Linked DNA regions of Mytilus edulis. The protein of the gene in region 2 purifies or fractionates together with the protein of the main gene of each other region. This does not show direct contact. Links are inferred from orthologs where the notes say so. Each region holds a gene or a part of one and is shown on either strand. Other genes may lie near its edges. The genes, in order: TIP41-like protein, serine/threonine-protein phosphatase 4 catalytic subunit, T-complex protein 1 subunit eta-like and coiled-coil domain-containing protein 6-like.

Evidence for each region.
Region 1: the proteins of serine/threonine-protein phosphatase 4 catalytic subunit (region 2) and TIP41-like protein purify together in Homo sapiens (co-immunoprecipitation; 6 studies listed by BioGRID and IntAct, with this or other methods). This does not show direct contact. The link is inferred for Mytilus edulis from reciprocal best matches to the Homo sapiens genes PPP4C and TIPRL.
Region 3: the proteins of serine/threonine-protein phosphatase 4 catalytic subunit (region 2) and T-complex protein 1 subunit eta-like purify together in Homo sapiens (affinity purification with mass spectrometry; 4 studies listed by BioGRID and IntAct, with this or other methods). This does not show direct contact. The link is inferred for Mytilus edulis from reciprocal best matches to the Homo sapiens genes PPP4C and CCT7.
Region 4: the proteins of serine/threonine-protein phosphatase 4 catalytic subunit (region 2) and coiled-coil domain-containing protein 6-like purify together in Homo sapiens (affinity purification with mass spectrometry; 7 studies listed by BioGRID and IntAct, counting the BioPlex papers as one, with this or other methods). This does not show direct contact. The link is inferred for Mytilus edulis from reciprocal best matches to the Homo sapiens genes PPP4C and CCDC6.

What each region holds. Positions count from the first base shown.
Region 1 is NC_092353.1:75,586,199-75,594,002, reverse strand, and holds the start of TIP41-like protein, read left to right. Parts: upstream 1-4,399; 5' UTR 4,400-4,407; coding exon 4,408-4,457; intron 4,458-5,094; coding exon 5,095-5,220; intron 5,221-6,395; coding exon 6,396-6,575; intron 6,576-7,804. UniProt on the Homo sapiens protein: May be a allosteric regulator of serine/threonine-protein phosphatase 2A (PP2A). Isoform 1 inhibits catalytic activity of the PP2A(D) core complex in vitro. The PP2A(C):TIPRL complex does not show phosphatase activity.
Region 2 is NC_092349.1:81,644,713-81,653,447, forward strand, and holds the start of serine/threonine-protein phosphatase 4 catalytic subunit, read left to right. Parts: upstream 1-5,288; 5' UTR 5,289-5,365; exon of another isoform or gene 5,366-5,368; intron 5,369-6,950; 5' UTR 6,951-6,968; coding exon 6,969-6,994; intron 6,995-8,024; coding exon 8,025-8,148; intron 8,149-8,735. UniProt on the Homo sapiens protein: Protein phosphatase that is involved in many processes such as microtubule organization at centrosomes, maturation of spliceosomal snRNPs, apoptosis, DNA repair, tumor necrosis factor (TNF)-alpha signaling, activation of c-Jun N-terminal kinase MAPK8, regulation of histone acetylation, DNA damage checkpoint signaling, NF-kappa-B activation and cell migration.
Region 3 is NC_092347.1:85,968,529-85,976,575, forward strand, and holds the start of T-complex protein 1 subunit eta-like, read left to right. Parts: upstream 1-4,768; 5' UTR 4,769-4,782; coding exon 4,783-4,860; exon of another isoform or gene 4,861-4,914; coding exon of another isoform or gene 4,915-4,917; exon of another isoform or gene 4,918-4,944; intron 4,945-6,417; coding exon 6,418-6,571; intron 6,572-7,014; coding exon 7,015-7,121; intron 7,122-8,047. UniProt on the Homo sapiens protein: Component of the chaperonin-containing T-complex (TRiC), a molecular chaperone complex that assists the folding of actin, tubulin and other proteins upon ATP hydrolysis.
Region 4 is NC_092352.1:18,225,778-18,234,398, reverse strand, and holds the start of coiled-coil domain-containing protein 6-like, read left to right. Parts: upstream 1-5,352; 5' UTR 5,353-5,385; coding exon 5,386-5,607; intron 5,608-6,530; coding exon 6,531-6,680; intron 6,681-7,657; coding exon 7,658-7,786; intron 7,787-8,621. Other genes in the region: uncharacterized protein, read right to left, coding at 106-328, 586-660, 1,290-1,457, 2,692-2,806, 5,093-5,125.

The DNA.
Region 1 (7,804 bases), on a different chromosome or scaffold from region 2:
GACAAAGAATAAGTGGTCATCCAAAGTTCTCTTTTTTAAAGCTCAGTCTTTTGCCTTAAAAGGTGCTGTTTGACACTCAAAACCAATCGGCATTAATGCTTAAAACGTTAAGTAAAAAATAATGTACTCGGCTCTTATTGACATTTGATATGAATCGAATGCGCTCAGTCCCAATAAAAGGAGCACATTACTTCGAGCTGCCGTTTCCGTAAATCGGCCACAGTGCTCAACGTTGCGACACATGCATGAACATATATAATCAACGGAAATTAAAAATAGATGATTTTTTATTTCATATCCGTGGCACATTTCTTTGAAGAAGAAGACAAAACTAATGATCGTTCTCCAAGCTGAAGATCGAATTACATTTAAATATCATAACATTAAATCAAGTTGTATGTGCATCACCAAAATATGAACGAATTATAGAAGGTGTTGATAGGGTTTACAGAATAGAGAAAAAGGGTAAAACATAAAAGAAAAGAGAAAAATGGACCAAAACAAATAAGGAATAGAGACTCAGAATAATGAGGTGCTAAACTATAAAGAATAGATAATGATGGGCAAAACGTATTAAAAAATGGTATACAAAAGTAAATCACAAGTTACAAACACTGGCACAGCTTAATCTTATCAAGAATATATCTTGTTCAAATTGACAGTAATTTCGACTGAGATGAAAACTTTGTCTTATGAATATTGTAATTACAGTGAGTTGACTGTTAGTGTTGCTCTCCACCAATTGCAACTCATTCAAAATTTTGACCCAATTGCAATATGTTTTATTAAACCAAATTGTTCAACTGGTCAGAATATTGAACAAATTGTTCATTCAATATGTGATAGTGCAAAGAGATAAAATAAAATATACTTACAATCCTATAACTCCATGCACTTTAATGATGTTGCGACAAAATTTGTTTATCAGTTTGTAGAGTTATATTATAGTCATTTCCATGCTGAAGAGGAACTGTTTATTTTGAACTGCATGCTATAAAATTGTCCAAACTAAGCTTTCATGTAGTTTTTCTTTCTAAAAGTATTCTATATTTATAAGAATCAGATATCATTTTAAATAAAACATCATATATTCAGTAAAATATGTGTGAAATAACAATATGCTATTGATAAGTTTTCAGGGGAGATAACCTAAATATTATTCTTTTGAATAAAGCCTTTTTGAAAGAAAAGTTATTATCTCCCCCATGGAAACTTCCTACAAACATATATTGCAATTTTACACATATTTTACTGAATATGAAAATTTTTAATTCACATAATGTCTGATTCTTATAAATATAGAATACTTTTAGAAAGAAAAACTATATGAAAGCTTAGTTTGGACAATTTAATAGCAATTCAAAATAAAAAGTTCGGAACTTCCCCTTCAGCATGGAAATGACTTTAATATAACTCTACAAACTGATGTTCATATGATGAAATCATAATCTTTCAGTCAGTTTAATTGAAGTCTGGAGCTGGCATGTCAGTTAACTGCTAGTAGTCTGACTTTATTTATGTATTATTGTCATTTTGTTTATTTTCTTAAGTTACATCTTCTGACATCAGACTCGGACTTCTCTTGAACTGAATTTTAATGTGCGTATTGTTATGCGTTTACTTTTCTACATTGGTTAGAGGTATAGTGCGAGGTTGAGATCTCACAAACATGTTTAACCCCGCCGCATTTTTGCGCCTGTCCCAAGTCAGGAGCCTCTGGCCTTTGTTAGTCTTGTATTATTTTAATTTTAGTTTCTTGTGTACAATTTGGAAATTAGTATGGCGTTCATTATCACTGGACTAGTATATATTTGTTTAGGTGCCAGCTGAAGGACGCCTCCGGGTGCGGGAATTTCTCGCTACATTGAAGACCTGTTGGTGACCCTCTGCTGTTGTTTTTTATTTGGTCGGGTTGTTGTCTCTTTGACACATTCCCCATTTCCATTCTCAATTTTATGATAAACTAATTCTGTCACAACATCATTAAAGTGGAGTTAAAGTCTTATAGGATTGTAAGTATGTTTTATTTTATCACCTTGCACTTTCATGACTTGGCTGTGGTTTTCTACAGCAATTGGTTCAAATTTCTGACCAGTTGAACAATTTGATTTTATAAAACAAATTGCAATTTGGTCAAAATTTTGAATGAGTTGCAATTGGTGGAGAGCAACACTAACAGTCAACTCACTGTAATGACATTGTGGTTAATATAATGTAATGTTATGCGACTGTCATAAAAGTGAGAGGTTTAGCTAGCTGTAAATCCAGGTTTAATGCATACTTTTTTACATAAGGAAATGTCTGTACAAAGTCAGGAATATATGACAGTTGATTTCCATTCGTTAGATGTGTTTTGGGCTTTTTGGTTTTCCCATTTGATATGGGATTTTCCGTTTTGAATTTTCCTTGGAGTTCGGAATTATTTTTTTATTTGGCTTTTTCCAACCGTGAATTATTCAGGTTGACACTGGAAAGTGGCAGTATACATATGTATATGGAAAGCTAAGATGAATACAATTTGTTTGGGTTTTGCCGTTATTTACTTAAACCTAGTCCCCAATTAAAGAGAGGTGGAAGATATCAAAGACTGATATTCAAACTCATATATCGATGACAAACTGACAACTCCATGGCAAAAAAAAAGGATCAACAACAATCAAAATACAAACAACAGTATTCAAAATACACAGCAATACTAGAAAAGACTGGGCAACACGATCCCCACTCAAAATCATTGGTGATCTCAGTTACTGTAAGTATATACTGTAAAAAGACAAGAACAACTCTCCATCAAAGCCTAGTCACAATTTGTAAACAGTTAACTGTTATGGTCCAAGTATGGCCTTCAACACGAAGCTGTGGCTCACACCAAACAGCAAGCTATAAAGGGTCCCATCCCAAAATGACTAGTGTAAAACAATTCAAGAAGGAAAACCAGCAGTCTAATCTTTATAAAAAAAATACTTGTGAACCACAACAACAAACGACAACCAATGAACAACAGATTCCTGACTTAGGACAGGTGCAAACAAATGCAGCGGGTTTAAATGTTTTAATGGTACCAAAACTTCACCCTTATTTTAAACAATAGTGTAACATCACAACATAGAAAGACTCACTATAGAATATCAATTGAAATGGCTTAACGCAATCAAAAAGCATATTAACAAAAACAGTTACATGTGAACATACACTGAACGGACAATGTATAATACAAAATCAATAAAATAGAAAAATACTGGTCCAAATATTTTTGACTTCTAGGAAGGCTATTTTAAATCATTGCTTTGACGCCTTCCAGGGACGTGTCAAAGAAAATAATATAATAGGCTTTCAAGACGTCATAATTATTTGGACTAGAAAAATACCACACTCCCTCCTGCCCTTTGAAATTCATAATCATTCCCTAAGCATTTTCCCTCTGAACTTTTTATTATTTTTTACTTTAGACAAAAATTATATATATACATTCGTCCTGAACATGCATGAAATATTTGCAACTGGACTTTTAGCAACCAATAAACAATCAGTGAGGCCCCTCATGGGGGGGTCCTAGTAATCACATAATCACCATTTTTTTGCCAATATAATCACATAATCATTAAATATTTGCTTATCTTTAGTAATCAAATAATCATAAACTAAAAATACAGTCCTAGGTAATCAAATAATCATGAAATATTTGGCTTAATAATCAAATAATCTTTAAAAAAACGGCCAAGTAATCACATAATCAAAAACCCCATGAGGGCCCTCATCAGTTTTTTGGAAATAGTGTTGGTATCAAAGCTGGCATTTAAGGTAGCGCCTTCTTTATATTACATAATCAATAAAATAAGGGGTGAGATGTTAAACAAGAAAGATAACCATAATATTGGACTACATGCCACTAAATAAAATAACGTATACTCGTAAATAAAATTATATATTTTGTTGTAACTTGAGTCATGGAGTACTGACTTGAATATTTTTACAATTTAAGTCTTTTTTAATTTTGTAATCCGCTACAATTTAAACAAGGCATTCTGAATGAATCAATCTACAAAGTGAAAACACTTCCCAACTTTCATGATATTCCTTAAGCAAAGAGACGGCTAGTTTTTTTAGAAAAGCTACTACTTGTTTAAATTACAGGCAATTCGTTTTGCACATTATTCCGCAAAAGATGTCGCAAAACTCTTGTTAACTTTTTTTATTCCTTTATATCTAGTATTAATTGATATGAATATGAAATTTTAAAATTCTGATCGAATTAATATTATTAATCTGGTATACTACAGTGATGGAACTTAAACTTAAACAATAAAAACAAAACGACATTTACAGAAACCAGTTTATGGCAAACATGTAAAAAAAGTTATTTTTTTGATGATCAGGTACACACTGTCATACAATCTTGACAAATTCATGTCAAGAATCTTAAGTTTATTTAAACACTGCCATATTTTTTTGTCAAAGTGTGTTGGTGATATTGATAAAAATGAATATCAGCTTCTCTGGGTCGAAAGCTCAACCATATATATCACAAAAATGACAAGGTTTTAAAAAAAAAAAAAAAAAGACTTCTTTTTAAATTTTATAGCAATACACTTATTAAAGCATGATTGAAATTTTATTCAACACAAATCCTTTAAAAAAAGCTTTAAAAAAGGGTTTAAACCTACCCAGGGGTGTGAACCTGAAAGGTGGCGAACAAACATTTTATCACTATTTGGAATTTTGTCCTGCTGACCTGAGAATCTGTCCCGCTTGAACTTTTGACGTCATACAACAATCACTTTTCCATTGTGGCATCGGATATTTTCTATTATGACGTATAAAATTTACGGGAACTTTCATGACTTTATTGATATCCAGTAATGGCGGACAACTCGTGATAATGTGTATAGAACATGTGTAGAAACAGACGTGTCAGATTTGGGTCAAACAGACCCGGATTTCAGGCAAATAAATTTTAGCAGCAGCCTTGTGTTAGATCTTTTGTAGTGGTTTATGTGAAAGAAGATCTCCATTTTCCATAACATAAGATGAATATTTTGTTTTCTTATTTTGAAAAGCTAGGTTATAATTTTCTTAGATGCATATATTTTTCAGGATGATGGGAGGTGACAGTACTGCAGCTAAAGCTAGATCTGTTACAGAGAAATTCCAGTTTGGACCATGGCGTTGTACGTCTATAAAGTCACACATTCTGAAATCGGAAGGTCCAGATAGAGAGAGGTAATGTCTAATGATGAGAAGATGATTACAATTTACACAAACCTGCAGTACACACCAAAAAAGTTGAGCCATTCACTGTGAAAAGTTAACTCACCATAACATAGAATGTTTGAGCTGACATGACATTAAACAGCTCAATCAATCAGTGTGTAACAGGAGGAATGCTGCCAAATTTGGATTGATTATTGGTCTTCAACATCACTTTCTATCTTTGCCATTTTTTTTATTAGTGAGGAAGTCAGAGTACCCGAAGAGAACTACCAGACTTTGTCAGGAAAACTGACTATCCTAGTCAATTAAGATTGAAGACCAATGCATATTGTCATGAGCCTTAAAAGCTGAAAAAATTGTTATATTACACTCATATTGATTTTCCTGAGGTTGATATACTGTATTATTGGAAATTCAACTCGCAAACAAAAAAAACTACAAAAGTAATAGCAATTAGAAATTCACTTTTTAACATTTTGTACCTTAAAACAGTTGGAAGGAATTTTGTAAAATGAGCAACAAACAGATACCAACTGCTATCTATTTTATATTTTATTATTAAAATTAAGTAGACCAGGATACATGTATAAGTTAACAATAGAAAGGTTCAGATCAACACAATTTGATCAAGAGTTACTGCCCTTTAGTTGCCATGGTGGAGGACTAAGTCCTTCATAAATCAGCCAAATTCAACATGTCATACCGACTGCTAGACTGTTAAACAATTTTGATTTATTTTGGCCTTTCTTGATTCATATAAGATCCATCTTTTGTCAGACCTGTTTGTACTGCATATTTCAATTTGGATATTAAGTCAAATATAAAAATCATCTATATTGACCCCTTCAAAATGGCAAGAAAATTAACTCTATAACAAATTACATCAATTGAAAGGTAAAGTAAAGACTGAAAAGCGGGAAAGGGGGTTAAAAACCATTCTGATCCCAATTTGAAAAAAAAAATTGTGGTCATGCAGATGACAAACCAATACTTTATAGTGTTAAATTTTGAACCAAAATGATTTAATGGATAGCTTTGAAAAATAAAAAAAAAAGGCAATTCTGACTCAGACAAAAAAATAATGAAGTTAAATGGTTGCTCCAGTCCCTAACTCTATTCAATGTGTTCAAACTAACTCATTTATAGATTTAAATTTTGGGTGAATATCTTTAATGTCATTTTAGATTCGAGAGTCAATTGGAACTTCCACAGGTTCCTGAGATGGTGTTTGCTGATAACTTACTACGTTTAGAACATTCAGCAGGATTTGGTTTGGAGTTCAATGCTCTTGATGCTCTTAGATTGGTGGACCCTCGAAACGATTTACTCAAAGTGGCTGTATCTGATGCTTGGAGACAGGCTAGGTTTGTTATTGTTAAGTTTGTCTCTGCTTTGAGAGAAAAGTGGTTACTAGATCATCTTCATTTACAGGTTAACTGACCAATCACAGTTTCAATCAAAAAAACAAAACAAAACACAGAATTATCTGAAAAATAAAGATGAATGGCATAACAAGTTTGGTAAAGTTATACATTTGTTATAATCAAAGGTGATCATGTAATGTGAGATTTGATTGCTATGAGAAATGTCTGATTCAAAAGAGTTTTGGCAACTAATAATATTTTGTCCAGCAAATAAAGAATGCATTGGGTCATGGCATATTCTTGGGAATAAATTAGGTGTTTTTTTTTTCTTTCAAATTGCACTTATTTTAATATTGCTTCCATAATAGCTCTTACATGACCCAGTATCAAAAGGCCCAATTACAGAGTAGCTAACATATATGAAATTGTATATGTCGTGTACAAGTTGCAATTTTGTACAGGTTATAACATGTACAAAAATATTGTACATGTTATAATTTGTACAATGCTAAAATACAAGTTATAACATGCACAAAATGACCCCGTACATGTTATAACATGTACAAAATATAGCTTAAAAATGGTTTTAACCTGTACAAAACTTTAAAAATAATAATAAAGCAGAATATACATGCATTATTGAAATTTATTAAATAATAAAGAACAATAATCAAAAGCAAAAGAAGGTGCATTATTTACAGCATGCATAAAATACTACATTTTCATGCATTTTAGAAACATTAAATTTTTTACTTGTTGTTAAAAGACAGACACATGTGACACCTTGAGTTGCTCAAAACATTCATTCTTCTACAATTACACCTACCATAATTACAACTGCCTTTCTTACACTGATAATGCACAAAAACTTGCCCTCCTCTCAATAATAACTTGTGCACTATCTCTCTCACACTCATATCACTCATTGGGACTTCAGACACATTTAAAGTTGCATTTGCCAAAAAATGGACCTAGCTTCTCTTTATTTGTCCAACTTAAGTTCCAAATTTATAGCCGCCATATTCATTCACTTTAATCACCACGCCTTCAATGTTTCTCTCATCTACCGTATACAGGGCCCCTATACATTGTAAATGGACGGAATATAACGTTATCACTTTGGGAGAGCACAGTTATTCTAGTTTTTGAGTTTTTTTATAAGACACCAGCTTGTACCTGCTGTCCAGAAAGGGACCTCTTTCGTGCACGCTTGATGTCAATATTTGATA
Region 2 (8,735 bases):
TGATAAAATTTGTAATTTTAATGCCAAAATCTGCCATGAAGTATTTTTTAGGAGAAAGTGTACATATAATGTTGTTTGTTTTCTTTTGTGTAATTGTTTTTAATAGTATGGTGTTTAGTGCTAAGATATACTGATATATATGTTATATAGATATAATATAAATGTATTTTAATCTGTGTTTTTAGTCTCTCTCATAACTCTTTGTAGAGTGGCTCTTTTATAAATTGATATTGTGTTTTATATCATTTTTTTTTCTGAAATATATATCGCACTTGAAAAAATCAACACCAGGCATTATGCATTATTGTGAAACGGGTAGATACCCACTTGTGACACCAGCATTAAATGCCGAACTATTTCGTTCTGGTGCAAACTATGTTCAGACGAAAACAAACTGTCTTCATTAATCTACAAGACTGCATATTATCAACACAGTGTAAACAATTAAAGCATCAAATTGATTAAATATGTTCAAGATATTGTAATCATGAACGGATTTGCAAATATTTTTTCACCTACAAAATGGACATTTCTCAAAGTGGCTTAATTAGAGCATCAAAATGAGGCTAATCGACCAATACAAACAGACATGGTATTCTTCAATACAAAACTCACCAAAATGTATTAACTATATAGACTGTCCAAAAAAACATTGGAGTTTGAGAACTACCTGAATATTCTTGAAGTCAAACATTTGTTTACATTATGTAAATCCAGAGCAGGTAACCATGCGTTACCTATAGAAAAGGGAAGACGACAAAACATTGCCCGATTAAAATGAAAGGACATGCTCGTTGTGTACTTCCAGTGAGAAAGGCGACGAATTTCATTATTTGTTTTGCTGTTCGCATTTGAAGAACGAAAGACAATTATTTCTACAAACTAAATTTTCAAATAGCCCAAATATAATTTCATTTTTCTCACTATTTAATCGTAAAAAACAATCTGTCTTAAGAAAACTGTGTTTATTTATTTAAGAAATAATTCATGGGGGCTTGAATATATCGTGATTTTACCACGGGTTGGCCCTTTATGACAAATATTTTACCCCTGAGCGATAGCGAAGGGTAAAATATCGGCATAAAGGGACAACCCGTGGTAAAATCTAGATATATTCAAGCCCCCATGAATTATTTCGATTCTGATAGGACACATACGGCAATTCTTTTCGGGATCGAAGCGCTCTAGGTGTAGGCAAATATTTGCCGTTCCCATAAATAAACGCACTAATAAACTAGCGTAAAAGAACGGAGCAAACTGCATTAGTGACATGCTTAATTATATTGTATGTTTCTCTGTAAACTTGTATTTTAAATTAGTTTTTAGAGAATAAAGTATCTATCTATCTTTAAAGAGCTCGCTGTGAGACTCAAAAAAATAATAATTGTTGTTGTTGTTGTTAATTTCGTCTCTTGACAATTATACCAAATTTTTGTTTGTATGTACATTTGTGTTGAATTTAATCTGGGACTATTATACGTTATACTAGTAATTCCAGATGTAATCATTGATTTAATCCATACTTGAATTTATCCGGGATGTAACGGACATTCTATCAACTTGAAGTTGAATCGGACAAAGAGATTATTGCAACCTTGCCTTTGTTAAAAAATCTTTTATTTTCGTGAATTTTATTCATAGATTGTTTTTTGTATTTTTTTGGAAATTAAAAAGATAAAGAAGAATGTATTTCCAATTTAAACATGTTAAAGGATCCACTTGGGTGGGGTTTAACTAAAACACGTACAAACTACCATGTAAATTGAAAGTATTGCTAAGTATCCCATGTCTTCTCATTTTTATATGGCATGGTTAGCATATATGTAAAGGGCATATGATAGAGTGACAGAACTTGCGGAAATGTAAGCCTATGGTTACAACATTCACTTACAACATTCATAAAAATAAATAAAATTGAGAAAGGAAATGGTGAATATGTCAAAGCGACAACCACCCGACCATAGAGCAAACAACAGCCGAAGGCAACCAATGGGTCTTCAATGTAGCGAGAATTCCCGCACCCGTAGGTGTCCTTCAGCTGGCCCCTAAAATATGCATAATAGTACAGTGATAATGGACGTCATACTAAACTCCGAATTATACACAAGAAACTAAAATTTAAAATCATACAAGACTAACAAAGGCCATACATTTGTGTTAAGAACTTATGGGATGACATAATGCATTGTACAAATAAAGTATATATGTAACTAAAGTATATGGAGGGGTATACGTGTTTTTGAGCACTCAATGAATCTATCTGACCTCAGTCAAAATGATTTAATGCAACAAAAGAACAAAATGGAAAACAATCTGTTGCAGACGGCTTCATTCTACAGCTCGATACGATGCATAAATAGAAAGTGACACAAATACAGTAGACACCGGTAACTGCTGACTAGACTAAATACATATAGATGAAATAGCGGCGAAAAAAAGAGTGACGATTTAAGCAACTGCATCCTCTCAAAAAAACATTTCTTTTGAACAATCGGGGTTTTTTTAATTAGCAAACGCATTTCAAGATACTATATGTGCCGTAAAATCCCATTGATTCGAACCGACTTACACTGTAGATTGTTGTCCCGCTAAGTGTGGACTCGGAAAGCACACGATTATCATACGCACACTCGGAAAGCATACTTTAAATACGAAATCTCAATAAATTTACTCATGCCGTTTAATTCTCTTTAAATAAAGATCAAAGGCGAATTTAAAAAAGACATGCCATTCTTGAATATTGTCATCATGGTCATTGAGACCGTGAGTAAAAGAAAAGTAAAACTTATAAGTCGACAACGAATTTTTTTTACACTGCCATGGAAAAAACGAGGGGGTTGGGACAACAGTACACAAAACACAATATAGAAAAGTAAAGACTGGGCAATGCAATCCCCAAAATTACCGAGGGAAAGGTGGGACCGGATCTCTGGTGCTCCGGAGGCATAAGCAGAATTGCCTCCACACATGCAGTCACCCGTCGTGTTAAAATTGAGTCCAACTATAAGAATAGAAAGAAAACTGTGAAAGAATAAAGGATTTTGTAATAAAAAAAATGAAATACATACAGAATAAAGAAGTCATGACTTAACAAACAAATCCAACAGTAACATGATGTGCAGGATCATTCTTTCAAGAATAAGCGTGGTGTTTAAAGATAAATAAAATGCCTCAAAAAGTTAAAATATACAGAAGGTATTCGTCTTTGTTTATGTTGTACTTTCACGAAAGTTTGTTTTGCCATTTACTCAAACCAAATTAAACATGTTAATTAGGAACTGAATGCCTTTTATATAGTTATATTGAGTGCTAAAGCGTTTGCCAAAGCACAAATATATGTTTGTTCAAAAACGCCAGATTGTTTATAGTTATTAAACTGAATAAAATTTAAAAATGTTTGCTAATGGATTTAAGAAAAAGAAAAAAAAAACAATTAATAGATATATATACAAACATTTTCAGAGTTTCGGATGATTAACACATTTTGTTCTATAACCTATAACATAAAATCAAACAGACCTAGAAAAATCCAATTACCGTGTTCGCTATATTCATGGACCCATTGGTGGAATTTGCCTGTTGTCTGCTCTATGGTGGGATTGTTGTCTCTTTGACACATTCCCCATTTTCATTCTCAATTTTATTATTAATATTACGGTTATATTGGGTTATATGACTGACGTCCGTCGGCAGTCTTCGGAGGTACATTGTTTATTTTAACTTGACTTTTTACAATTGTGATAAACGTTGTAATATTTTATAATTAACATATGAAAATTTGTGTCAAACCGGTGATCTTAATAAATCTGACAGCCAATGCCTCTGTAAATGTCTGTTGATAAGGCTAGCAAAGCTATATTTTGTATTAGAAAACTATTATTTTCTGAAAAGATGAATTTAGTACCACATTTAAAGCTTTTTGATTCATGCATTAAACCTATTCTGTTATATATCAGTGAAGTTTGGGCTACTATTAGTTTAGTGAAACAAAATACTACCATCGAGTCAAACTATGCAAACTTCAGTCCAAATAAAATTAAAATAAAATTTGCTAAATTTTTATTGGGTGTAAATAAAGGTGCTGTTAATAATGCTGTACTTTCTGAATTAGGTTTATTCCCACTTTCATTGTCAGCCCTTAAAAATACAATTAACTTCTGGCTTCATATCATTATTATGGACAGTGAGAGTATGGTAAAGAAAGCATACAATGAAAACTTAAACTTTCCTAATGGTTTTTGTAGTAAATTAAAAGTGTTATTAGGTAAACTTGGTTTTCAGCATGTCTGGGAAAATCAAAATACTATGTCAATGAAAAAATTACACTTTTCCTTTCAAAAGAAATTAGAAGAGGAATTCAGAAAATACTGGAAACAAGCTCTTTTTTGTGACTCTAATAATGGTAATAGTCATGGTAATAAACTAAGAATATATCGCAAAGTTAAAAATAATTTTGATTTAGAAAAATATCTTCTACTGGACCTTAACAAAAGTGTTATTTCTAAAATGAAACTAAACTTATCTTGTTCACACATATTTATAAAAGATGGAACTATATCACTTAAAAGATAAGTTTAGTTTCATTTTGAAAAGTAATGATACGGACATTAATTAGTACTGTAAGTGTAGCTGGAATATTAAGTGATATACATGTATGATTTGAACATTCATTTAAACATGTTAAAGCAAATATAATGTTGTTAAGAGCTTTTAAAGTATTAAAGCTGATTGTAATAGCTTGAATTAATAATATTGTATGAATAACACCTCCACGCAATGTAAATATAAAATATATATCTCTTATCATGATCATTGAGAAAATCTTCTTCTTCTTGCGAATACGGGAGTAGCCTTTTGACTCCTAGGTAGGTGTGTAAAACTTCCCCGAAAATATGTTTGGTTGGGTTTTTTTTGTTTGTTTGTTTGTTTGTTTGTTTGTTTGTTTGTTTGTTTGTTTATTTTTGTATTTGTATTTTGTAAATGTCGGCTGGTATCATTTCTGTATAGGAATTTACACCAATAACATTATTTGATTTGATTTTAACAAGGATTTGTATAGTACGACTATACAAATCCTTGATTTTAAACATGTAAAATGATATGTGTTCGTTCTTGTACTCTATTTGCAATAAGTAAAAGATGGTGATTAGTAGTACCATTATATATTTTGATTAAAAAAATATAAAATAAAGAAATTGTATTTGAAAATCAGGACAAAATTTTAAATCTTTTAAGGAATACAAATTATATAAAAGATTTAAAAATTATAAATTTGATAAAAATTAAAAGAGTCTCGCACATTTGTTATTTCGTTAGTGACGCAAGAAGTGACCGGAAGAGACAAGTTTTTGTTGAAGAAGCAAACCAGGTACACATTTTTAGGGTTAATCTTGTCCCCATTGTCCATTTTTCTGCATGTTTATCGATGCTAGTAATAAAATTGTGAGTCAAGTTATGTTTTCTTTATATTCAGTGAATTCTTGAACATATTGTCCATGTTGGGATAAAAAGAAAATAGTGAACGACAAAAAATTTCATGAAAAAGATGAACGTAAAAAAAGTTTACTTTCAACTTTAGAAAACCTTACAAATGGTAGATTGGAATATGTTTAAGATTTTATATTGAAAAATGTAGCATTGTCAGTCTCAAAATAAAGAAGGCCAATCAAAACGAATTACAGTGTATCCCAAACTCGAATACTCTTCCCCTGTCTGGGATCCGTATGAAAAGGAATCCGGGTCAGTTCGCGCTCATTCACGTTCGCTCCCACTCATGTTCGCCCCCTTCCACTTTCGCACTCTACATGTTCGCACCCAAAGTCTGTTCGCATCCTACATGTTCACGCCAAATTTTAATTGGTTTTGTATTTAATCAAGTTTTGGCAAGTGTATTCTTATATTTGTTGTCATTGTCTCAAAATAAAGTGAGACAGCATTTTTTTTTGCGTTGAATAAATTTTAATCACAGTTTTGGATAGTGTATTGTTAAAAAAAAAAATCCTTTCTAAATTAAGTGGTATTCTGTCAACGTTTTATTTTGTGTTGAATAACTCTTAATCATGTTTTGGTAAGTGTGTTGCTATAACTTTGTTTCATTGACTTGTTTCAAAATAAAGTGAGATTCTGACCGTTTTTTTGTGTGTGTTGAATAAATTCTATCATGATTTGGTTATAATTTATAATAGAGTTGTGTATTGCTATATTTTATTGTTTTAGATCAAAGGGACCAAGCTGTTAAAAACAATTATCTTGTGTGTTTTTCATTTAAAATCTTGAATGTTTTACTTAATTACACCAAAGCAATTTATAACAACAATCAGGATTTTCCAATTATTCAACTGGAATTTGAATTAAAATTGAGTGCGAACGGACCTTGGGTGTGAACGTGCGAAGTGCGAAAGTATTGGACGCGAACGAACCTGATACCACAAAAAGCAACATATCACTCAGGTTGAGCAGGTACAGCATAAGGCAGCCAGGTTTGTCTTTAACGATTATAAAGACAGATCACCTGGAGCAGTTTCCAACTTACTTAAATCTTTAGAATGACTTTGATATTTTTGAACTGACTAAAATTAGCAATTTTTTTAAATTCATCAAGAGTTTGCAGGAGTGTTTGGACCCTGGTAATTATTAATAAGTTAATAATCTATTTTAAATATTCAATCACAATCCAAATTCAGCTGTTTTAAATTTTTAATGTTGTGTCCATACTAGCTCAACTGTTCAGGGTTCAACCTCTGCTGTCACTTAACAACCTCTTGTAAATGCATTAAACCGTTCACTTCTGAATTAATGAACATGATGAACATGTGTTCTAAGCTTACAGTTGAAATGACCCTTACATACTATAAAAAGTGTTTACATGACATACTTTAAACCAAAAAGTTTGAAGTGAGAAGACCAATGCAGAAAATGAATTTCTCAATAGTTTTCTCTCTCTTATTTTTTCAGATAAACACAGAAGCATGAGTGAAATAAGTGATTTAGACAGGTACATATTTTTTTTAACTGGTATACATTTATTTTCGTAATCTGTTCTTGTAATGTATAAATTAATGTCTATTTAAATTAGAAACACACTTTGTTGAGTTTTAGAAATAAGAAGATGTGGTATGAGTGCCAATGAGACAACTCTCCATCCAAGTCACAATTTATGAAAAGTAAATAAAGGTCAAAATACAGCCTTCAATACAGAGTCTTGACCCACACTGAACAGGAAGCTATAAAGGGTCTTTAAGTCACTAATCAGTAATGTAAAACAATTCAAACAGCCTTTAAAGGGAAAACTGGCAATGTCTAATCTTAAAAGAAAGGAGAATCACTTATGAACCACATCAACAAACAAAAAGCTCTGAACAACACTATGTTACAGATTCCTGACGTAGGACAGGTGCAAGCAAATGCAGCTGGTTTAAGGTGGTACCCAACACCTTAACTAAAGTTAATTTGACTCGTTTAATTTTCATAAAATTTGACAAAGTATTTACTTTGACACTTTGACAAAAGAAAAATTACACTGGTTATATAGCAGTTTGACAAACACTTATTTTGATCATCGAGCAGCTTAATATTCCCTAAACAACACAACGTAATTAAAACGTTTAGCTGATTTTACAGAGTTATCTCCCTGTAGTGTAAGGTACCACCTTAAAAGTTTTAAGGCAATTTTCATCAAGTTCTAACGAAGTAACAAACTTATTTTGTTGAAACTAAAAATTATATGATGTACTCGCGGAAGTGATTAATAGTCTGAAATAACATGCAACTAACTTAAGTCAACGTTTGTCGCACTTTGATCAGCAAAACACCCTATACCTCAACCTGTTCTCAATCCAGATAACTCTAAAGGGCACATGGCGGCAAATTTTTAGAAGAAAGAGGTCAGCAAAAAATATGTGGCGTCATGCCATGCTAAATTGCTTTAGATAAGAACACTACAATGTAATACCCTGTATATTATTTCATAATGATGTCAATAAACTATAAAGTTAACATCTGTACTTATTGTTATTTTTCTGTAGACAAATAGAGCAACTGAGAAGATGTGAAATAATTAAAGAGAGTGAAGTGAAAGCATTATGTGCCAAAGCCAGAGAGATTTTAGTAGAAGAAAGTAATGTACAGCGTGTAGATTCTCCTGTAACAGTAAGTTATCTCCTTTAAAGATTGTTAAAAAATCCATTAACAATTTTATAAACTTAATAAGTGTTCAATATTTAACTGAAGCTTAAAATGTGGAGGAGAAATTTAGTACAAAAAACAACCACTTTTCCCTGCTGTTTGCTAATGCCCAACATCACTATACTATACATAAAAAAAGGTGTGGTATGAATGCCAATTAATTAAGACAACTCTCCACAAATTAACAGCTATAGCATAGATGCCAACTATTACGATTTTTTCTGTAGTTTTTCCGATTTTGCGATATAAACTACGCTATTACGGTCAAAGTCGAATAGTTACGGATTCCCAATCATCGACGTTCAATTTTGTAAAACGCGGATTTTTATCATTACTTTTCCGTCCTGGTCCAGTATTTAGGAAACGCCAATGTAATGCTTCCGGTTTCTCGGGAGTTATCAACCTATTGTTGAGTAACTAACTGACTTCCGAAGAGTCAAACTTGAACTTGCATTTTATTAAGTAGCTTTCCCCCTTTCTCTACTTCTTTTGACAAAACAAAAATATTTGAGTCGAGAACATCTGAACAATTAATGAATGGAATACATACT
Region 3 (8,047 bases), on a different chromosome or scaffold from region 2:
AAAATAATAATTACACCACTGAATTCATTACATTGAATTGTTTTGTTAGACATGAATACTTTTTATGATGAAAATATATTTAGAAAGTTATACAATGAAACATGCTGAACTTTCAATGATTTTCTCGATAACACCTGATTAACAGACTTTAGCCAACCCGATTAACAGACCAACCGCCGATATAGCCGCATACTCAATATAGATTAACCGACCAATCTCTCGGTTAGCCGAGTGTCGGCCGTGTTCTAGCAGTTATACATGCCAGCTCCAGACCTTAATCAAACTGATTGAAAGATTATGTCATCACTGTGACTATAATCATATTAGTATAATAGTCCACAATCTTCATCATATAAAATTGAGAATGGAAATGGGGAATGTGTCAAAGAGACAACAACCCGACCAAATAAAAAACAACAGCAGAGGGTCACCAACAGGTCTTCAATGTAGCGAGAAATTCCCGCACCCGGAGGTGTCCTTCAGCTGGCCCCTAAACAAATATATACTAGTCCAGTGATAATGAACGCCATACTAATTTCCAAATTGTACACGAGAAACTAAAATTAAAATAATACAAGATTAACAAAGGCCAGAGGCTCCTGACTTGGGACAGGCGCAAAAATGCAGCGGGGTTAAACATGTTTGTGAGATCTCAACCCTCCCCCTATACCTCTAACCAATGTAGAAAAGTAAACGTATAACAATACGCACATTAAAATTCAGTTCAAGAGAAGTCCGAGTCTGATGTCAGAAGATGTAACCAAAGAAAATAAACAAAATGACAATAATACATAAATAACAACAGACCACTAGCAGTTAACTGACATGCCAGCTCCAGACTTTAATTAAACTGACTGAAAGATTATGATTTCATCATATGAACATCAGGCACAATCCTTCCCGTTAGGGGTTTAGTATCATACCATCATAACATATATGAGAAGAACATAACCCGTGTCATGCCAACAACTGTTTTTAGAATAAATGTGTTTAGTTCCGATGCAAAGACCTTATCAGTGACTCAATATTAACGCCAACATATGCAATCTTTAATGACTTGACAACAGTATCGTAATTATATCCCTTCTTAATAAGTCTATTCAAAGGTTTTGTAAGTTTCTGAGGTGAATACTGACACCTTTGTGCTTTATAAAGAATATTACCATAAAAAATTGGATGTGAAATACCTGAACGTATTAGAAGTCTGCATGTTGAGCTATATTTACGAATGATGTCTTTATACCGATGATAAAATTTAGTAAATGTTTTGACTAGTTTGTGATATCGAAAACCCTGGTGTAATAATTTTTCAGTAATACATAAATTTCTCTCATTAAAATCTAAAACATTGTTACATACACGAGCGAATCGTACAAGTTGAGATATATAAACACCGTAAGATGGTGACAAGGGAACGTCACCATCTAAAAACGGATAATTAACGATAGGAAATGAAAAATCATCCCTTTTATCATAAATTTTAGTATTCAGCTTTCCATTAGTGATATAGATATCAAGATCGGGAAAAGGGCTGTGGTCATTGTTAGTATTAGCTTTATTTAAAGTTATATGAATATCAAGTAATAAAAAAATCCAGATTAAATAACTTGTCGATCGAGTGCCAACTCGATATGTTTGATAAGGCTATTGTTCCTATACTAACTTATGGGTGTGAGATATGGGGATTTGAAAATTTAGATATTCTTGAGAGAGTTCATTTGCGTTTTTGCAAACATATATTGAGGTTAAAAAATTCAACCCCCAATTTTATGGTCTATGGGGAATTGGGAAGATACCCGATTTCAGTTACCGTCAAGTCACGTATGATTAATTTCTGGTGTCGTTTACAAGAAGGGAAAGAGAGCAAACTATCATGTTTATTATATAAGCTGTTATATGTAAATCTCAATAACTATGGTTATGATAGTAAATGGATATTATATATAAAGAAAATTTTTGATGACTGTGGAATGTCAAATATATGGCAAAGTCACAACCTTTTTGAGAAACATTGGGTTGTATTGAGTGTTCAGCAAAGATTAAGAGATCAGTTCATTCAAGAATGGTCAACAGAAATGAACAATTCGCCCAAGGGGCTGTGTTATAGATTGTACAAAAATGTTTTTAAATTTGAACACTATTTATCAGTACTACCATTTAATTTATTAATAACCTTATGTAAATTTAGATGTGGGAATAACCGTTTTCCCATTGAGACGGGAAGGTGGCGCCACATCCCAAGATCTGAAAGATTGTGTCACCTTTGCGCCTCAGCTGACATTGGTGATGAATACCATTATATCATGTCATGTAATTATTTCAAAGATGAAAGATGCAAATACTTACCACAATATTGTAATAAAAATATAAATGTTATCAAATTCAAACAAGTATATTCAACCCAAAATATTGTTGAGCTTGAGAAACTTTGTAGATTTATTAAATCTATTTCTGTGAAAGTCTATCCTCCTGGTTAATACAACCAGAGACATATATACACATGTGTATATATGTCTCTGATACAACTATGTGTTTATTTATCATTTGTGTAAATATTTATCATATTAATTTGTATTTCACACATGCTATATCTTATATATGTAATATATATTATTGTAATATCTTCTCTGTAACTATGTATTTGGTTTATGAGAATAAAGATCATTCATTCATTCAGCACAATCTCTCCGGTTAGGGGTTAAGTGTCATACCATGATAAAAAAAATATGAGAAGTCAGGACTGTTATTCAGTCAGGGCCGTAACTAGCCCCTTTAAATAGTGAGGCAAAATATAAATCGAAAAATTTTGGGCGAGCGGTCTAGGGGCTGCTTAAGGCCCCCAGAGGCTCTGAGAAAAATAACGCAAAATCGTGCATTCTGAGCGTTTCCCAGACTCTTTCTTGCTTTAAAACGGCTTAATTAATTTTTAGATATTTTTTCGACAATGTGATTAGACTTTGGTGACTTTTTTATGAGGTCTTTTATGACTAGATTTAAATATAGTGACATTGCAGTATTATACTTTAAGTACTAGTACTGCTAAGTCCACACTAGGGACCATCTCCACCTTGTTTTACGATCTTTTACGGTATTAATGATTCTTTAAAAGTATTGTTGAAGACCATCCGGCAACTATCAAGATGAAGAGCTGGAACACAAACTTTGCGGACCATTGATCATTTGTATTTTTTCTATGCATTGACTTTGTGTGCGATTATGTCCCCATACTCCTTTATTATCTGCTAAAGGGTCTCAACACGACTTACCTTTCAATGTAAAAGGTCATATGGTCCGAGTACACAGTTATTTCGTAGTGCATTTCCTTTAGACAATAAATGGAAATAAAAAAAATCCCACCTGCACTTTCTCCATAATATTTTTACAGTGTGTTGTACTACTTTTGGGACAAATTATATCAAAATTATAGAAAACTTCATCAGCTCTAACTCAAAATATGGACAATTTTATGTGAAGGGGGGCTTGAAATCTTTTGACAGCTTCCGAAATGCTAATTTTTGACCCTTTTCAACTGGACCAAATCACTACTTTACATTATAATTCATGAATCAAATTTTTTTACAGTGTAATTTTATCCCCCTTCTTGCTACTTGAGGCATAAAACATAAAAAAATAAATTTGGAAGGGGTATAAAAAAAATTGACAAGTAACACACTGTCCACAGTAGGGACTATATACGATAACTGTGTACTCGGACCATATATGGCAATACCTTGTTTTTTTTCTTCAAATTATTTGATACCGGGAAATATGTGACCTTACTTTAATTCAAACCATGTCAGCTATCTAGTTTTATTTACAAAAACAAAAAAAAACTGTTTTGTATTCTTTGATATCAATTTCAATTATCCATGCAGAAAGGACAATTCCACTGAGTAGCATCGCATATTCTTAAAATATATTTCTCGCACAATTCTGGACATCGGTGGACATGCAACATTGCAAAACCACGTTTACAAATGAAAATCAAAGCTCAGACTATAGTCATGACGTAGGACAATAAATGAACAAAAGACAAACCCGGAACACAGAGACCACCAACTTTGAAAACTAAAAGGAACATAGAAACATGGATAACGAAAAACATCCAGGGGATACACCAGAGAGTGAAGAGAACTTGCTTCTTGCAAGACACTTTCCGTGAAAATAATTTGATATGAAAACAACCTTTTGTTTCATTTTTTTATTTTTTATTTTTACATGAGGCATTTGCCTCATTTGCCTCAATATAGTTACGGCCCTGTCAGTGGTTAATTGTCGTTTGTTTATGTGTTACATATTCATTTTTCGTTCATTTTTTGTACATAAATTATGCTGTTTGTTTCCTCGTTTGAATTGTTTTACATTGTCATTTCGGGGCCTTTTATAGCCGACTATGCGGTATGGGCTTTGCTCATTGTTGGCCGTACGGTGACCTACACTAGTATAGCTGTTAATTTCTGTGTCATTTGGTCTCTTGTGGAGAGTTGTGTCATTTGCAATCATTTACCACATCTTCTTTTCTTTTATATTATCATATATGATCATATATATAACCTGTATCATTCCAACAACTGGTTTAGAATAAATGTGTTTATTTCCGATGCAAAGACAATGTTATCTCTTTACTTTCTCTCCCTGAAAAAAAAATCATGATTTATTCCTTTTTTGATAAATTTCTTGAAACTTGAAACTTTTTTTATTCCACAAAAGGCCTCACATGATGATGAGGCATAATAGTACAAACAATAATATTGCAAGGTATAACAACTTGAAATAAAATGCATGAACAAAATTTTCAAATCCGCGGGGAAAATTGGTTATCTACCCTTACATGCATTCTTCATTAAAGACAACAAAATGGTAGGTTCCCGTTTTGAAAGCCTGTTTAGAATCGACAACCATCTACCGATTTAAATGGTTTAAAAACATTTCATTGCTTTTTGGGTGATTTATAAGTTTCTCTTAAATTATTTTGTGGCCAAAAATATTCGGTTTGTTATTTGATTTGATAAAAAATGCCCATGTTTAATGCATGTATACACATGTATCCCCTTTAGAACATTTAGAACATTCCTGAACAATCATGTTTTCTCTTTATTTTTACAAGAGATGAAATAAATAGTTTTCATGCAAATTAAAGATTAAAAAGTCATAGAATTGCGATTTTTTGTTTCGATTGACAATTCTTTGTTGCCATTGATTTTAAGAAAACAAAATTACATTTGTTTTGGTCTTGGGTTTACAAGGGTTGCCTTGACGTTTCGAAGCTTGCCCTAGTAAATGTATACTCTATGGCTATGCCTTATAATAATGATTGAGATATTGATTGTTATTTGTTATGAATGATCATAGCTTAGTTCATTTTAAAAAAAAACTTTCTGCAGCTGGAAACGTTTTAAATCCTAGCATCCCTAAATTTGATTGCATCAAGTGTTTTAGAATTCTTTTGAGGTCACCAAAGGCCTTTATTTTAACTGTGAATTTTCTAGAATGAAAATGTGTACTTTCTTTGTAATCTTCTATGTTTCGCATCTATATAGAATTTTATATATGCCTGGTTTATCATGTTTATTGTATATAATCTTATATAATCCCACTGTTTGTCGTCTCTCACTTCTTCTGACCTTTTGTATAGGTTTGTGTTGATTAATTTATTAATCACATATTTGGTTTGTTGAAATTTAAATAAAGAAAAAAGTACAGATGTACTGTTTGTTTCTCATTGTTGAAGGCTGTACAGTTGCCTACTATTGCCTACATCCACTTTATTTGAACTTTGGTGGATTGTTGTCTCATTGACAATCATACCACACGTCCTTATTTTTATAACATTTTTAAAAGGTAAATTGGTTTCCTTTATTGTTTTGTGAATTATTTTGACGAAAAGATATTAATAAATATTGTCATAATCAATGGTATTCATATAGAGCATTTATTCTTTGTGTTAAAACATGTTGAAAGCTTGAAAAAATAAACAATAATGATCTTTTAAGCTTTCAAAATCAATCAAATCATGCACTATTCCAAATTTAAAGATCACTGTCAGAAATATTTTAAAATGATATATTATTGTTTTTGTAACTACACCAACGCTTCATTTTTAGTAACGTCAACAATCATGATTTACAAATACATAACAATAATACATGTACCATTATTAACTTTTTATATTTGATTATCTAATCACAAAAATATAATTTCATTTGAAAAATCCACCGATTTTTATTTGATATGATTTTTTATCCATTACTTTTTTAACATTTTTACTAACAATTCAAATTATTCAACCTGTATTTGAATAAAACCTTGGTTCAAAAGAAGGGAGACAATGAACTGACAACCAACTTTAGAAAAAAACTTTTTTTACAACAAATGTTAAAATTAACTGAAGTAATGTGTGATTTTATTGTATTGCAGCAGCCACAGATAATTCTTCTGAAAGAGGGTACAGACTCCTCACAAGGAGTACCTCAAATTGTTAGTAACATAAATGCTTGTCAGGCCATTGCTGATGCAGTACGTACCACACTTGGTCCACGGGGGATGGACAAACTCATTATCAATGATCAGGGTAAGAAAGAATTTAACATGACTAAGACCTGCTTCAGGTTAAAGATTTTAGTCCAGGTAGTTTTTGATGCAGTTGAGGTTGAAACAAACTTGAAACTTTATACACATATTCCCTATCATGTTGATATGATAATTCTAATTTTAATGTCAAATTAGAGTTTTTACCCTAATTTTAGGGTCCACTAAACATAATTGACAGTGCCTTTTGTCTTTTTGTCATTTTTCATGGTGATTACTTTGCCACAGCATTGCCAGTGATGTGGACTTGTAAGTTTTAATGTCCGTTTGGTATCTTTTACATCTCTTTAGTTAAAAAAAATATGCAAACACATTTTGTTAAATTGCAGTTAGACAATACTGAAGTTGTATCTTAATTGTACATGTATGTAGATTTTTTGTCACATTTAATGGAAACAAATTATGTAGAGACTTTATAAATTATAGGTAAAGCTACTATATCAAATGATGGAGCTACAATTCTGAAGACATTAGATATTGTGCACCCAGCAGCCAAGACATTGGTAGACATAGCTAAATCACAGGATGCAGAGGTTAGTTTATACATTTCTCATTGTTAAAGGCTGTTACAGTTGCCTATTACATGTACATTTACTTCATTTTAACTTCATTGGATAGTTGTCTCATTGGCTGTCATACCACATCTCTGCATTTATATCATACAGGTATGTAGAAAATTCTTTAAAGGTTAAAATTTACAGGAAATATCTTAAATAATCTCAATAACTTTTTTGCCTATCTAGAATATATATATGCATTGATAAAAGGTTTTTGTTTACACCAGTTGAGACTTATAATTGTATTTATGCTTTTCTAATTATTAAAAGGTGGGTAGTAAAATATGGTTAAACTATATTTTTTCTTCCAGGTTGAATCTGAACATTACAAATTTGTAATATCTATTTAGATACCTCCTTTGAATAATACGAAAATATTTAAGTTTTAAACTCCACTGATCATTCAGCAAAGCCAATTTTATATTTGGTCCTTGTGTCACAACTGTGGTAAAGTAATGACAATATCATCGATATCTGTCAGAGTTTTCGAGAGTTGTTGGAGGTATCTATGACCTCTTACATAGTTTGTAAAACCTACAATTTGTTGTAATATTCTTATCTTTTTAAAAAAGATGAAAAAAAGATATACAAGTTTTTCTGCATAGCATTTAATTATATTACAATAAAAATATTCCCTGTTTTACATTCATGTCCAATCTCTAATAGAAAAGGTGTTAAATAAAGATGGAAAGGGTCAGGCATTTTATGGTAAAGCAGTGATTTGGTCCAGTTGTAAAAAATCAAAAAATTAGTATGCCTGAAGATGTCAAACTGAATCAACAAAAAAGTACCCATATTTTGAGTTTAAGCTGATTATGTTTTCTATGATTTTGATATAATTTGTCCATATGTAGTACACTACATCATGTATGAACATTGAACAAAAATCATTTTGAGATTGA
Region 4 (8,621 bases), on a different chromosome or scaffold from region 2:
GATTATATTCTCTTGCTACCATCTAAAATCGATTTTTCATGATTTATTAAATAGCAAATACCAAAATTTGAAGGATCAATAAAGAAAACTCAAAATCTTACTCACCTTGATGAGACCCATTTTTCTGTTTGATTATCCAGAAGTTTTCTTATTCCATGGAAAACAAATGTGAACCCACATGCAAATGTTGCATGGAAGTAATAGCTTGTCCACGGCACCCAATAATGACGATCGTAAATGTTAGGATCAGTGTCATGCCAGGTCCACCATAACGACTTTATACCCATGATGTCATAAGGCAGGTCTATCAATACAACTGATACACCAACTGCAATATAAAACAAAACAAAGTAAGAACACAGGGTATGAGAAATAAATGTGATTAATATTGTGTCAAATCTCTCATTAGAAAATCGATTATTTTATGATTATTACTGCTTACATCAAACATTATGACAGCATAGAGATGAGAGAAATCAAAGCATCTTTTGCTCTTCTAGCAGATTATGATACAAAAAAAATACTTTGTAAAAATAAAAAGTACTGGTAATAGAATCTGTCAATGTTATTCTAGTTTTAACAAACCTGCAAATGGTTCTCCCCACCAGGGTAACCTCATGTGTGACACTGCTACTGAGGCTGTATATATAAAGTAGGGATCTGAAATTAAGGGAAAGTACAGTAATGTATTACAATGAAACAAACAAATAATATTCAATCTCATCTCCCTTTTCAAGTTGTGATGCAAAGAAATTGTTTTTGTGAAGAATAATGACTGATTTACCTGAATTACTGGTACCGGTAGATAGTAGTCTGTTTATGTATCAATGCACTTCAGTCCTGACTTTGCTTGCAAAAAAAAACAAAACAAAAAACAACTTTTTAAAGACTACACTCCTCCTGAAATACATGACATAGTTTCAGTATAATCCATTTAGTTACTGTAAATCCACGTAGTATGCAGCTGTAAACTTTATAATGAAAGGACTGATAAAACATTGTTTTAAACCTGCAAAGAGTTGTAAGGAACCATGCCTCTCACCTTCCATTGCTGTCAGAGTGTCAGTTTTAAGGTGTAAAGGTGATTGCATTTTATATCAGAAAAATGAAAGAAGAAAAAAGAACACATAATTGCTGAGTGCTGTCTTGATAATTAAGATTATGACCAAAATAGTTTGGCAAAGTTATTTATATTTAAAAATCTTTTATAAAAATGAGACTGGTAAAAAAACAAACACATGAACATTTAGATTTTATTTCTGTTATTGAAAGTTATTTTAAACACTTACATATTAAAGCGATGTATAATGGAAGCCTGAGTCCGAGGAAGGTTACTACACCTTGGGCATGCCAGAAATTATCAATATCTGGTATGAAATAAGAAACACATTCCACTGTTATTCCATGGAAAAGAGTTGCCAGCCATAACCATCTAAATCGACCACCATTTCTTAAAGCTGAAATAATCAAAATAGAAAGTTATTTCTTATGAATCTGAATCATAATTTTAGAACAGATTAATACATTTTTAACATGTGATTTAACAAAATGTTCTTCAATCATACACAACATATGATCAACAGAAAGCAAACCAACAAATTCCGGTATATTTACTTGTAGTAATATAATTGAAGCACTTAAATGTAAATATGTTAATGAACAACAAATCTAAATATATGTTTAATTTACTATTGCCTTTTTCTAAACTCCGGTGATTTATATAGCTGCCTTCAAAGTGTGTCTTTCCTTGAAGAAAATATGGTTACCAGTAAAATAAAAATAAAAATATTTAAATGTTTTGGGGTTGCTATCTTACTAAATAACATTTACCAAACATATCTTTTAAAGGTTTTCAGTCGTATGTAGTGTACTACAACTTTTAAATTGTGACAGTACATATTTAATGTTAAATATAATTTCTACCCTTGCATCAATTGTAATAAGATAAATCTCCTCTCAAATTCCAAATAAGACACTTTCTCATTAAATGTTTGATCATCTCTCCAGAGACAGGAGAAACAATCACATCAAACAAGATACAATGGTGCATCTCTACAGAAACAGGAGAAACAATCACATCAAACAAGATACAATGGTGCATCTCTACAGAAACAGGAGAAACAATCACATCAAACAAGATACAATGGTGCATCTCTACAGAGACAGGAGAAACAATCACATCAAACAAGATACAATGGTGCATCTCTACAGAGACAGGAGAAACAATCACATCAAACAAGATACAATGGTGCATCTCTACAGAAACAGGAGAAACAATCACATCAAACAAGATACAATGGTACAATTTGTTTCTCTAATAATTATCTATGTAGTTCAGCTATATACCTATTTTTTAATGATTTGAATAGAGATCATGTTGATCCTACATGTATGTGATGTCATCTGGCATGGTTGCCTTTTTTGTGACATCCTTATAGCGAAAAAAAAATCAGGAGACAGCTAGAATATTGACTTCATAACAGAATATATACCAAATGAACATGATGAAGAACAGCGATCAAGAAATCCCATATTGATTAAAAAAGAAAATCAACCATCAAGGGAAAGTATAAACATAAAAAAGTAGAGAGGTATATTTATATATAAAGTCTTATAAGTTTTCATTTATAAACATGTTCATTTGTACAAATGTAAGCATTACTTCTGTAAACCAATCATATTTACACTTACCATGTATGAGGGTTAACAGAGTTCCTGTAAAACAAACTATTTCTACTCCAAGGAAAGAAGCATGTTTCTCTATGGTATCATATGGATTTCTGAACTGCACCCACCAATCAAATCCCTGAAAAAAATAGCTTCAACCTTAATTGGGTTACTTTTAAAGGTACATCTACAGCAAACTAGCTACTAAATCAAGTAATTGAAAACCTAGATCATAAGCAAATGGTCCAGCTCGCAATTATTCTTTTAAAGGATTTAAAGTATTCAATACTCTTTTAAAGGAATTTATTGATGCATCGCATATTGCTTACTGAGTACATGTAAGTCATAAAATTTTCTCTAAATGTGGTAAAATCGTCTTTGTTAAAGAACACAATGTATTTCCCTATCATTCCAGTATATTCTTTTTCCTAAAAGAGTTATTTTCCCTTAAATGGCTTAGTTAAAAAAAAATGATTCTAAAGCACAAATGTTTGGTATTTGTTTAAATATTTGGATTAATGCAATAAATCAGCAAGTTTTCTTCATATAAATAAACAGTCTTACCAATAAATCTCCACATATGTCTACAAATTTGCAGATTTGGGCAAATAACTAGACTGATTGTGTAATGCAATATTACAATCCAAGATGGCGGTATACCATGAATCTCCCTTAAGCAATTCAAGCAGTTGTTTAATCCACAGTTGGGTAAAAAAAGTAATTTAATCATTGTTTTACAGATTGGTTTTTTTTCTCTGCATTTCCTGTCTAGTTGTATGGAATAAAAAAACATTGACACCATTCTTATAGCCTATGTTTACCAGTTATGTGCAGTTGTCATGAAATAGAGGTTCCTTTATGTTAATTTGACACGAGTTCCAATACAACTTATTGCTATTTGTCTGCCATCTGAACATCACAAATGTTTGTTTAAATTTTGACATACACCAAAAAGGAAAAGTGATTGTTGCATGATGTATATAGTTCAAGTGGCACAGATTATCAGGTCAAGAGGTACAGACACCCAAATATCAATAAGGTCTGTAAGAACAAATATAATGTATGGCCCCATTGTTTGTAACAAAGTTTCCATTGGAACTTCTGTAACGTGCAACAAATATATATAGCTGCAGAACCCTAGCTCTAATGTCCTTTTGATATTTTTTGATAATTTTGACGCTGTAGTCTAGAGCTCTTTCATAAAATTTAAAAAGGACCATTCGAGTTACCGTTCTGCAGCTACACATAAGACTTATATATACTAATAAATTACCTCAGGTGCTGAATTAACCAGGTACTGATTTGACTAGTTGTTGAAATAGACTTTGTACGAAGGTCCTTATTAGGGTATCTCCATTACAAATAAATGTTAAAATTCTTGCAAAATGACATTATTGGGAATTTTTGGTGCAAGACAAAAAATATGTAAACTTTCTTTAAAGGGAAAAAAAATCAAACGTTTCTGAAGAATCACGTTAATCTTTTTCCAAAAAAACAAAAGAGGGGGTAGGAGGGGTCCTGATACCAATATGTGGGCTTAAAAAAATGAAATCCAGAATTTAAAGAAATTTAAAACCTGACATCCCGAAATTTGAAAAAAAGAATTAATGTACCAGATCCTGAAATCCCGAGCTGAAAAACACCTGATCTCGACGTCCCGAAAAAGGTCCTGCCCCCTTCTAGTAATGCTATTTACCTTTTTTAGCATCAAATTGGTTAAAACTTTACAGTGATTCATCAAAAAATCCTTATCAGAGGTCTCGAATAATTATTGCAAGCATTATTTTAGGGAATAAATACACCTTATCGCTGTTTGTCCACCATTACTGGATCACAGGTTCCCGAAAAATTTTGACGTCATAAAACAAAATATCTGACGCCACAATGGAAAAGTGATTGTTGTATGCGTCAAAAGTTTAAGCGGCCAGGTCGGCCGGCCGATAAGGTGTAATAATGACAATACACCTTATCGCTAATCCCGGCTGACCCGGCCGCTTGAACTTTTGACGCATACAACAATCACTTTTCCATTGTGGCGTCAGATATTTTGTATTGTGACTTCAAAATTTTACGGGAACCTGTGTGATATCCAGTAATGGCGGACAAATAGCGATAAGGTGTATGTGATGCGTAAAAATCAGTTGATATCCTTATTGTCAAAAAAAAAAGTGTACATTTTATCGTCATGCACCAAAAATTACCGTTACATCATTTGGAAGATTTGTTTACCGTTATTGCTCAAAAGGCAACCCAATTACTAGTACTACCCTACTATAAGTGGTGCCGATTTGACCAGATGCCGAATTGACTAGAATTTTAGAAATCCAAAATTTCTTTACTCGGTCTCTGGATCGGACATGTAGACTCATTTATAAATAAAACTACATTCAATACAACCAATTTTCATTTGTCTTTTGTCTCTCACCTTCAATTCTGACACATTAACGTGTTTTGCCATGCTAAGCAGGGGCCAGATCCACAATAATATCGGACGAGAATCGGCGCAAAGTTCGCAAAGTTCACTAATTAGTCCGACTTTTTACGAACATAGTTTTCGAATTAATTGTTTCTCTGATTAGCCAATACTTTTTTGAAATATCTGCAATATGTTCGTATTAATTTGATTGTCAAAATTTCACACATTTTCAGAGTATTTTGAATGTTAGATTTTTAAATTCGAAAATACAAATGATCACGTTTTGAAAGAAAACAACAAAAATGGCGGACAGTGCGAGCGAGCTCGAAAGTGATACGAGCTCTATTGATGGGGGCCCTACGCTTAAACCACCATCTCCAGCAACATTAGAACAGCTTCAGAAAAGAATCGAATCATTACAGCAAGAAAACAGAGTTTTAAAAATGGAGTTAGAAACATACAAACTGAAATGCAAGACGTTACAGGAGGACAAAAAAGAACTCCAGAAAGCCAGTGTCAACATTGTTAGCATATAAATTTTAAATGTTAATTTATTTGAAGAAATGCATTTTCGCCCCGTATATCTTTTGAAATGTTCGTAAAATGTCTAATTTTGATCAGGAGTTGAGTTGTCATTGTTGTATTTTGTCACTAACAGGACTTTCATGTCTCTTTGTCATTTCTAAATTTAAGATATGATTCATAGACTTTGGTACATGTATACAATGTTTTAGTTTGTTTGATAGGAACATCAGTAAAATAAGGCATGATTTTGAATTACTCTATTATTATGATTAAAATTCTGATTGATTCAAATCAAAATGTTTTATAAGATAATGTGGAAAACCTGGCAAATAAGGGATTGTTCCTCAAATGAGTTATCCGCTTTGGGATTCTGTGTTCACAGCAATTTTCTGATTTGGCAGCCCTCAAAATATCTATTCAAGCCCAGGCAAGTCTATTCTGGGGAAAAAATGCCAACCACCTATGAGAATGATGAGGCCCTCATGGGGTTGTCAAAGTAATCACATAATCATTTTTTTTACAAATAAAATCACATAATCATTAATTATATTTTAAACAACAAGCACTCACATAATCAAAATCTCCATGAGCATGATCTAGGAGGCTCACCTCCTCCAAACTTGTGTCCTTTACACATGTTATAAACAATACTTTAATATTAACATTTATACATACCTTTCCCCGAAAAATATATATACATCTTATTCTTTTTCTCATAAATTTTATCACATTTTTACAAGTTATTTAAAAAAAAAATCACATTTTTAAAGCTTTCTGTTACAGAAGGTTTGAATAGCAAGAGTGTCTTATTTTTAATTAATACACATTTGATAATTTCAATAGTCTTATATGATATATACATGTACATCTTGTTGAATGAATAGATCGGTCATTTTATAATAATACTGTTAAAATATTGTAGCAAGCCAGAGCTGAACAAGAGGAAGAATTCATTAGTAATACCTTACTAAAGAAGATACAATGTCTGAAAAAGGAAAAAGAGTCATTGGCTATGAATTATGAACAAGAAGAAGAATTTTTAACCAATGATTTGTCCAGAAAATTAACACAGGTAAAGTTTGATCATGTAAACTTAAATGAAAAAAAATAAACGATTAGGTGGTGTTACCTCTTACAATGTCTATCCAAATTATTTTGCAAAGAATTCTGCTCAAGCCCATGCTAGGGGCCGTCTTAAACTTGCAGTGAGGTGCAAGATTTTTTTTGCTCTCTGTTGTATACCTGATTGCTTTGAGGATGAAGAACAGCAATAAAAGCTTTGTCCCTTTGCTTTTTGTGGTTTTTTTTTTTGCTGTGCATGAACTGATTTTGTGTCATGGATGTGTATCCCATATCCTTTGTTTTTCTAGAAATATATTAAGAATTTAAATTTGATTTATTTTTGTACTAATGAAGTTCATACTTATTTTAAACATCTGATGTTTAATACCTCGGATTAGTAAATAAAATTGAAAAGAATACCATGCATGCAGTCGTAGAGTTCTGTCACAACATATAAAGAGTATTTTGACCCAGAGTTTAATGGCTTTTTAGGATGTTTGTTAATACATTGAAAATGTCCACCTAATTTTGTGCAGCCATTTGGTTAGTTTTTACAGTTTTGTGAAATTCATTCCTTTTTTATGAGCATTCTTGATGGAGGTATTGTTTTGTAAGTCAGAGATGGCTCTGATGTCTGATGGTCTTTTTGGGGAAAGTGGTAGGTCAAAGGGCAATCAAGACAGATTACATGAAAATTGTCTAACCAGAGCTGACAGTTTCTGTCCCAAATCCTAGATTCATTGTCAAGCTAATAAATTTCCTGCATCACCCAGATTACAATCAATGTTGCAATGTATATTGGTACATAAGCCTGGGAAATAACTGTTTAGCCTAAAGAATTATTGGATCAATTTATTCCAATCATACAATAGAGTTTTGGTATATTTTGGGCCATGCCATTTACCTTTCAAAATAAAGGACAAATTATTGTTTTTGTTATAAAAATTGTGTTATTAAATTCTTGAATAAATCTTATTTGATTTACAGCTTAGGAACGAAAAAGTTGAACTGGAGGAGACATTAGAAAAAGAACAAGAATATCAAGTTAACAAATTGATGAGGAAGATTGAAAAGTTAGAAAGAGAAACCTTGTCTAAACAAGTGACTCTTGAACAGGTACATAGTTGTGAACAGATTTTTTATTTTATAATGAAATTATTCCTGGTTTGTTATATTGTGTTATTAGTTCCCCTAATATGCCCAGCTGGGAAGTCTTGGTTTTCATTAAATACCTGTAATATTTTAAGTTGATTGGAAGACATTTAATGATCTCTTAAGCATACTTAGTACCATATTGATAGGACATGATTATTCACGCTACATTTATTTAACTGATTTGTTGAGTACTTGATGTAAACTTGACAGTACAATATACCATATCAATCATGTACACCGACTCCATCATAAAAATAGCAGACATATACATGACCAATAATTGCTAATATCATTGTTACAACAAATGTATTTGAACTCTGGTGGATAGCTGTCTCATTGTCAATCATACCACATCTTCTCATTTTAATATACAAACAAAGACAAAACAATAACTAACAATGCATGGTGTATTGTTAAACACCTTGATAATATGCAAATTAATTGGTGTTTGTGAAAAAAAGGAACTGAAAAGAAACTACGTAAAAAGGCTTTTATTGTTTGCACCCGCTTCTCCCCACAAAATATTAGGTAATAAAACTTTTTGTAACTGTTAGATAGGGTCTAATGAAACTCCGGTAATTTCAAATCCTGTGCGGTCGTTTGCAGTATTTTCTTTGAAAAACCTGTTTTCCATCATCAAACAGAAGCTGAAACTGCTTGTAAATGATTCTAGAACGCTGTTAAAATAAGTTTAATTCACTTAAAAAACAATTTAGAAACTTGTGTATGTTTAAACAGGAAAATTAAAAAGCATGTGTAAAAGAAGAAAATAATCAGTGAGAGTCGAAATCTGTAC